Caenorhabditis elegans: one gene and its partner. The protein of the gene in region 1 interacts with the protein of each later gene in a biochemical or structural test. Each region holds a gene or a part of one and is shown in the gene's direction. Other genes may lie near its edges.

Evidence for each region. Proteins that work in one complex are often made in the same cells at the same time.
Region 2: the proteins of tbb-2 (region 1) and ung-1 form a complex in vitro, tested with the Caenorhabditis elegans proteins (one large-scale study listed by BioGRID).

The regions. Positions count from the first base shown.
Region 1 is NC_003281.10:4,015,403-4,019,322, reverse strand, and holds tbb-2 (Tubulin beta-2 chain), read left to right. Parts: upstream 1-1,695; 5' UTR 1,696-1,700; coding exon 1,701-1,866; intron 1,867-1,938; coding exon 1,939-2,457; intron 2,458-2,534; coding exon 2,535-3,008; intron 3,009-3,063; coding exon 3,064-3,257; 3' UTR 3,258-3,413; downstream 3,414-3,920. Other genes in the region: C36E8.4 (SH3 domain-containing protein), read right to left, coding at 3,582-3,725, 3,775-3,920. UniProt on the Caenorhabditis elegans protein: Tubulin is the major constituent of microtubules, a cylinder consisting of laterally associated linear protofilaments composed of alpha- and beta-tubulin heterodimers.
Region 2 is NC_003281.10:11,970,924-11,975,599, reverse strand, and holds ung-1 (Uracil-DNA glycosylase), read left to right. Parts: upstream 1-1,509; 5' UTR 1,510-1,510; coding exon 1,511-1,569; intron 1,570-1,614; coding exon 1,615-2,287; intron 2,288-3,860; coding exon 3,861-3,977; 3' UTR 3,978-4,133; downstream 4,134-4,676. Other genes in the region: Y56A3A.31 (SOSS complex subunit A homolog), read right to left, coding at 1,074-1,094; Y56A3A.30 (SP-RING-type domain-containing protein), read left to right, coding at 1,341-1,396; Y56A3A.28 (C2H2-type domain-containing protein), read left to right, coding at 4,242-4,334. UniProt on the Caenorhabditis elegans protein: Excises uracil residues from the DNA which can arise as a result of misincorporation of dUMP residues by DNA polymerase or due to deamination of cytosine.

The DNA.
Region 1 (3,920 bases):
ATTAATATTTTGAGTTCCACTTTTTCAGTTGGCTAGTTCCTTAACTTCGTAAGCCAGGCGCGTCGTCTTTTCAAATTGCTAGATGGATGGGCACATTTTTTGAAATGCCTCGCCTGTGGCGGGTTGGTAAGGGACACCGCTGTCGCCCGTTGGTCAAGGCCGTCACAAAGCATTCGCGTCCCTGTCCATCCGAAACATAGAGGGCGCGGAGAGAAAAACGACGGGAGAAGGGAGGGAAGCACGGGCGGCGCCAGTCTCTATGTTTCTCGCTTGGTATAATGTGTCTCATCGACAACGGAAAGTGGGGGTAAGAGTAGAGCTCTTTTTCGTCCCCAGCGCCGACACACGACCCTTAACTCGACTTTTTTCGTCAGTTATTTCTTGGAATTTTTTTTTGAAGCTTCCCGTTGATTTGGATTGTATTTTAAAATCGTTATCCAACCAGCAACTGATCTAGATAGTACCCATTAACATTGTCTCCTGGCGCGTGTACTACGGTAATTGACCTTTCTCTGACTGGCTGCATGTGTGACGAAGTATTGGCTGCATATGTATCGTATTGTATAGGCGACCCCAAGCCGATTGTCACTGCCACGTCATCTCCGTTTCTCTTTTCTCCGCAATTCTCAATTCACCACCACCGCAGCCGTCAACAGGGGTACGATTTCCATCGCATTGAACTAGTTTTTGTCCCTCGTTTTTCTTCACGGTTCGTCTTCATCTCTTTTATTCTGAAGGCTTTTCAAAGCTGCAGGCCCCCAGCACATTTCATTCGGTTCCCATAGGATTACTGCGCGCCAAGCGGCATCTCCCTCTCTACCCCAAACCAATAGCACCAAATTGCACCCGATGAAAAGCCATCTGTGTCGTGTGCTCTATCTCCTTCTGCCAAACCTAGTGGTGACACGCAAAACAAATGGATTAAGCAAAAAGAGAGGGAATTGATGGACATTTTGTGTATGTTTCGCAATAGATTTGCCTCTGCTCTCTTCCTCTTCACCCATTCTACCCATATCTGCATATTTCGCAATAGTCTATTCGATTTCACCACCCTTTGCAGTCCAACAACGACTGCTGCCCCAGTGGCCACTGCGGTTTTTAATGCGAGCGGGCGCCGCGCGCCCCGTGTTCTCGCGATTATCGATCCGAATGCACACAGCGTCGGACACAACTGCGCCCGACCCGCCTCTTCTTCGTCTCCATTCCATACATCCCAAGAGCTGCATGTCTGCTCCTACAACGTCCTTTTGTTTCCTTTTTGGGGTAGCGATTATGAAAAGTGGGCTCATTTTAGAGCAAATAGAAAGGTACTTGCGCTGAAATTTTTATCGAAAGTAGTTAATTTCGGAGTGCAATAAACTAGAATCAACCTATATAGAATAGAAAAGAATCACCAATTAAACATCTCTTATATTTTTCAAGGTAACCTTATTCAACCTTATTCCTAATTCGTCTTTTAATTTCTTATTTTCGCCGTGAATCATTTAATTTCAGAGCACAATAAACTAGAATCAAATCACCAATTAAACATCTCTCAAATTTCAATGTATTAAAAAAACTTACTCCTTTAATTTTAAATTTTTGCCGTGAATCATTGCTTTTCAATATCGACCATGACGTGTTCTCTTTCTTTTGTTATTTTCCTTCATCTTCTCTATCTAAATATAGTTTTTCAATTCATTACGACCTTTTCAGCAAAAATGAGAGAGATCGTCCACGTGCAAGCCGGACAATGCGGAAACCAAATCGGATCCAAATTCTGGGAGGTCATCTCCGACGAGCACGGAATCCAGCCAGACGGAACCTTCAAGGGAGAGACGGATCTCCAGCTTGAGCGCATTGACGTCTACTACAACGAAGCCAACAGTGAGTTTTTAAAATTTTCTGGAGATTTCGAAATCGTTTAGTTGGAATGATTAATTAATTAAATTTTTTCAGACGGAAAGTATGTGCCACGCGCCGTGTTGGTCGATCTCGAACCAGGAACCATGGATTCTGTCCGCTCTGGACCATTCGGCCAGCTGTTCCGTCCTGACAACTTTGTGTTCGGACAAAGCGGAGCCGGAAACAACTGGGCCAAGGGTCACTACACAGAAGGAGCTGAGCTTGTCGACAATGTGCTTGACGTGATCCGCAAGGAAGCCGAAGGATGCGATTGTCTTCAAGGATTCCAACTCACTCACTCTCTCGGAGGAGGAACCGGATCTGGAATGGGAACACTTCTCATCTCCAAAATCCGCGAAGAGTACCCAGACAGAATCATGAGCTCATTCTCGGTTGTACCATCGCCAAAGGTGTCCGACACAGTTGTAGAACCATACAATGCCACCCTCTCCGTCCACCAGCTTGTTGAGAACACCGATGAGACCTACTGCATTGACAACGAGGCCCTCTACGACATCTGCTACCGTACCCTCAAACTCACCAACCCAACCTACGGTGATTTGAACCATCTTGGTAAGTTATTATTTCTTGTTCAAGTTTAAGTTATGCACAAGTTACCCAAATTGAAACCTAATAATTACAATTTTCAGTATCCCTCACCATGTCCGGAGTTACCACCTGTCTCCGATTCCCAGGACAGCTCAATGCCGATCTCCGCAAGCTTGCCGTCAACATGGTTCCATTCCCACGTCTTCACTTCTTCATGCCAGGATTCGCACCACTTTCCGCCAAGGGAACCCAGGCTTACCGTGCCCTTACCGTCGCCGAGCTCACCCAACAAATGTTCGATGCCAAGAACATGATGGCTGCCTGTGACCCAAGACACGGACGTTACCTGACCGTGGCCGCTATGTTCCGTGGACGCATGTCGATGAGAGAGGTTGACGAGCAAATGCTCAACGTTCAGAACAAGAACTCGTCCTACTTCGTCGAATGGATCCCGAACAACGTCAAGACCGCCGTTTGTGACATCCCACCAAGAGGACTCAAGATGGCTGCCACCTTCGTTGGAAACTCGACCGCTATCCAAGAGCTTTTCAAGCGTATCTCAGAGCAGTTCACTGGTAAGAAATTTGAAACTATCATCCAGTATCAGTTTTAAAAACGTTATTTTTTCAGCTATGTTCCGCCGCAAGGCTTTCCTCCATTGGTACACTGGAGAAGGAATGGACGAGATGGAGTTCACCGAAGCCGAGAGCAACATGAACGATCTCATCTCAGAATACCAACAATACCAAGAAGCAACTGCCGAAGACGACGTCGACGGATACGCTGAGGGAGAAGCTGGAGAGACTTACGAATCGGAGCAATAAATGCAAGATCCTTTCAAGCATTCCCTTCTTCTCTATCACTCTTCTTTCTTTTTGTCAAAAAATTCTCTCGCTAATTTATTTGCTTTTTTAATGTTATTATTTTATGACTTTTTATAGTCACTGAAAAGTTTGCATCTGAGTGAAGTGAATGCTATCAAAATGTGATTCTGTCTGATGTACTTTCACAATCTCTCTTCAATTCCATTTTGAAGTGCTTTAAACCCGAAAGGTTGAGAAAAATGCGAGCGCTCAAATATTTGTATTGTGTTCGTTGAGTGACCCAACAAAAAGAGGAAACTTTATTGTGCCGCCAAGAAAAAAGTCTCATTGCCTAAGAGAAACATATGTGGTTGGAAATCTTCCAGATCGTGGATCAATTGAAGAATTGTCATGTTGGCTTATAACGTGCCCAATGAGCCAATCATCTCCTATTCGATCCTCGACAAGAACACATTGACCTTCTCTAATCTTAAAATAATTCAGATTTATAATATAGATCTCAATTAAATAGAGCCACCTCAATCTCGTCAGCATGCTTCGGCTCAAAATCATAAAGAACTCTACAAATTGTCGGTGGACTTGAAGTGGGCTCATCGAAAGTTGTAGTTGTTCGAATAGGACCACCATTTGATGATGTTGTTGTTGTTGAGTAGAAACCGTCGT
Region 2 (4,676 bases), 8.0 Mb from region 1:
GCCAAAAAATTTTAAAGGTGGACTACGCTTTGTGGGGAAATTGCTTTAAAATACGCCTATGGTACCACAATGACCGAATATCATGATTAAAAAATTCAAAAATTTTTTCTAAATTTTATATGATTTTTTGAAAATTGGAAAAATCACAGTTTTCCCCTAATTCCTATTTGAATTACCGCCAATTGAATTTGTTCGATGGGGCGCGCTTGCACGTTTTTAAATTTATTTATTTTATTTTTTGTTATTTTCCACCGATTTTTAATGTTTTCGGTGTATTTTTGCTCGAATTTTAGAGAAAAAGTCAAAATAAATGCAAATTTTCGATTAAAAAGTGCGCTTACAGGCGTAAATCAGTGAAATTAATTAATTCAGGTTCGAAATCGTTTAAAAGCGTTACTTTTTCATTTTTACGCCTGTAAGCGTGCTTTTTAATCGAAAATTTGCATTTATGTTGATTTTTTCTCTAAAATTCGAGCAAAAATACACCGAAAACATTAAAAATCGGTGGAAAATAACAAAAAATAAAATAAATAAATTTAAAAACGTGCAAGCGCGCCCCATCGAACAAATTCAATTGGCGGTAATTCAAATAGGAATTAGGGGAAAACTGTGATTTTTTCAATTTTCAAAAAATCATATAAAATTTATAAATTTTTTTTTGAATTTTTTATCATGAAATTCGGTCATTGTGGTACCATAGGCATGTTTTAAAGCAATTTCCCCACTAGCGCTACCCCACCTTTAAAGGAATTGTGAAAATTGTGAAAAAAAAAATCAAAATTTCGAAAAAAAAAGCGCTAATTTTAACTAAAATCTCTAATTTTGGCCACTTTTCCGTGCTGCAGCGTCCGAAAGTGCACTTTTTTTGAATTATTATTCTTATTATTATACATTAAAAACCCCCGTACTCCTCCAATAACGCCAATATTATCGACCATCTGGACGTGACCGCGTGCAACCACGGCCTAGCTGCCGCCACCCCATTCAAACGAGACATTTCGGCGGGAGAGTCCTTTTTTTCGATAATTCGGATTTTTTTGTCTGTTTCAAGTAATTTTCGCCATAAAAATTACCATTTTCTTCTTCGGTGCCATTTCTAATGATTTTCCAGTGCGTTTTGAGTCTGAAAGTTTGAAAATAAGAGTTTTTGCACAAAAATGTGTGAGAAAAGTTCAAGAAAATCGTCGAAAAATTCAATAAATTAATTTTAAAATTTAAAAAAAAATTAATTTTTTTTAAAAATCAATTCTGTGCATACACCGCCACGCAAAAGTGCACACAATTACCTACCGTAGTCAATGCGAAATTAAATGATTTTTATCGATTTTCTTCATTTTCAGGTTACGAATTCACCGGTTTGCCTGCAAATAACTCGAATAATTTCCCATTTTTGTGATTTAATTTTTCAAATATCCTTATCTATGCCCTCAGGTTTATTTTATCTCATTTCCACTCGTGTTTTTTGAATAAAAATTCTTTTTTTTTCTTCTAGATTTCCGTTTATTTCAGAATGTCGAAGACTGTAAGAATTCCGGACATGTTCCTCAAAGCATCCGCTGCCTCTAAACGGTATTTCCCGCTCTGAAAATTCAAAAAAAACCACCGAAATTTCAGAAAATCCGCTTCAAATACTGAAAATATTCCGGAAAAAGTTCCCGCGGGCAATGAAAATCAAGAAGTCAAGAAAATGAAGTTACAAGCACCAGAACCAACTGAAATTCTGCTAAAATCCCTGCTAACCGGTGAATCTTGGTCGAAACTTTTAGAGGAGGAATTCAAAAAAGGCTATATTTCGAAAATCGAGAAATTCTTGAATTCCGAAGTGAACAAGGGCAAGCAAGTGTTCCCACCGCCCACACAAATTTTCACAACATTCAATCTTCTGCCATTCGACGAGATCAGCGTGGTTATCATCGGTCAAGACCCCTATCACGATGATAATCAAGCTCACGGGCTCTCCTTCAGTGTTCAGAAGGGTGTAAAACCGCCGCCATCGCTGAAAAATATCTATAAAGAGCTTGAATCCGATATTGAAGGCTTCAAGCGGCCCGATCACGGGAACCTGCTCGGCTGGACACGTCAGGGAGTGTTCATGTTGAATGCCACGTTGACGGTTCGGGCTCACGAGGCGAATTCTCACGCGAAGATCGGCTGGCAAACTTTCACGGACACTGTTATTCGGATTATTTCGCGACAATCGGAGAAGCCTATTGTCTTTTTGTTATGGGGAGGATTTGCTCATAAGAAGGAAGAACTGATTGATACAAAGAAACATGTAGTTATAAAGGTCATTATTTTTCTGGATAGAATTCTGGAAAAAGCATGGAAAAGTTGATTTTAAGATTTTTTCCCTAAAAATGTGTTGGAAAACGACAAAAATTGCCGATTTTCACCTGTAAAATCGGAAATTTTGCGATTTTGCTGGAAATTTAGGTAAAAATTGCCAGAAAACCTAGAAAAAAATTCAAGATTTTCCCATAAAATGGTAGTAAAATTGTCACTTTTCAGTTAAAAACTAAAAAAAATTCAGGGGTTTGCTCTAAATTTTCCCCTGATTCCGAATATCTATGTGAAAAATTGGAAAAAAACGTCCCTTTTATTGTAGAAAATCGACGATTTTCAAACGCGCGCCAGAGAGCCAGAGACGATTCTCATTGGAACGCACCGTGTTGTGTCGATTTACGAGATTTGTTTTTTTAAAGCCAATTTTTTGCTGTTTCTTCATTTTTTTTTTCGGTTTTTTGAACATTTTATTATTATAAAACTCGCAAAATTTCCTTATTTTTAGATGGAAAATGATTTAAATTCAGAGAAAAAAAACCGAATTTTTTCGATTTTTTCAAAGAAAATCGGAATTTTTCTTCTTTTTTTTTTTAAATAGAAAACCGGAATTTTTCTATTTCTTTCCAGAGAAAATCGGAATTTTTTCGTTTTTTTTAATTTTTTTCAAAGAAAATCGGAATTTTTTCGATTTTTTTTTTGATTTTTTAGAGAAAATCGGAATATTTTCGATTTTTTCAAAGAAAATCGGAATTTTTTCCATTTTTTCATATAGTTTTCCAGAGAAAATCGGAATTTTTTCCATTTTTTAAAAGAGAAAATCGGAATTTTTTTGAAATTTTTAAGGAGAAAATTAGAATTTTTTCGATTTTTTAAAAGAGAAAATTAAAATTTTTTTTTTCTATTTTTTCAGAGAAAAATCGAAAAACAGAAATTGTTTTTTAATCGAAAAAAAAATTCGAGAAAATTTCTATTTAAAAACTCCAATTTTCTCTTTAAAAACTCAAAAAATTCCGATTTTCTCTGAATTTACCTCCTTTTTCATCTAAAAATAGGAAATTTTCGCGGTTTTCTGATCATAAAATGTTCAATTGGCTCGAAAATACACAATTTTCAACGAAAAAAACCGATAAAAATGAATAAAAAGCTGAAAGCTGGCTCGTAAATCGGCACAAGACACAGCGCGCTTCAATGTCTGGCGCGCGTTTGAAAATCGTCGATTTTCTACAATAAAAGGGACTTTTTTTTCCAATTTTTCACATAGATATTTTAAACAAGGAGCAAATTTGGAGCAAAACCTGGAGAATCTTGTTTTTTTTTTTGGTTTTTAACTGAAAATTGACAATTTTACTACAATTTTGTGGGAAATTCTTGAATTTTTTAAAGTTTTTCTGGCAATTTTTGACATTTTCCACCAAAATTTAAATTAATTTCAAAGGGAAAAATTGATTGGTTTCAGACGTGGAAAATCGCAAAATTTTTGATTTTTGTGAAAAAAAAAACCTATTTTTTAGCGTATTTTAAAAATATTTCCACTAAACTCAAATTTAATTTTTTAAAAAATTTTAAAAAATTTCCAGACCGCCCATCCGTCTCCGCTGAGTGCTCGCAAGTGGTGGGGATGCAAATGCTTCTCGAAATGCAACACGGAGCTCGAAAATTCCGGTCGAAACCCGATTAATTGGGCGGATTTATGAATAAATTCTCCTGTCGAACACCCTGCGTCTCTTCATCTCACACACTCTCTCGCCACTCACTGAAGAACTCTGTTATTTATCGATTTTTCTATTTTCTCTTCATTTTTCCTCATTTTTTCCTCATTTTTTCGGTTTTTCATCATAAAAATTCGATTTTCTGGCCATTTTTTTGTTCAATTTCCAATTTTTCATTCGTTTCAACGATTTTTAAATGCTTTTCACGGAAATTGCAGCGAAAAATTGTTTTTTTAACAGAAAAAAAGAATGCGGCGACAAAAAACCGAAGAGGAACGGAGCTGGACTTCAATTTCTCGGCATTTTTTATGCCTTGAATGTAGAAAATATTTCCGGAATAAGGTAGAGAAGATAATATTCTAATTAAATCGCAGAAAATATATTAAAAATTGAAAAAAAAAAACCGATTTTTCCCAAAAAATATATTAAAAAACCGAAAAAATTCCAATTTCTTCTTTAAAAAAATTTAAAAACATTGAAAAATGCTAATTTTTCTTATAAAAAACGAGAAAATTCCGATTTTTCTCTAAAAATATATTAAAAATTGAAATTATTCCGATTTTTCAGTAAAAATATCAAAAAATCAGATTTTTCTCTAAAAATACATTAAAAAATCAGATTTTTCTCTAAAAATACATTAAAAAATCCGTTTTTTTTTTAAATTTATATTAAAAATCGAAAAAT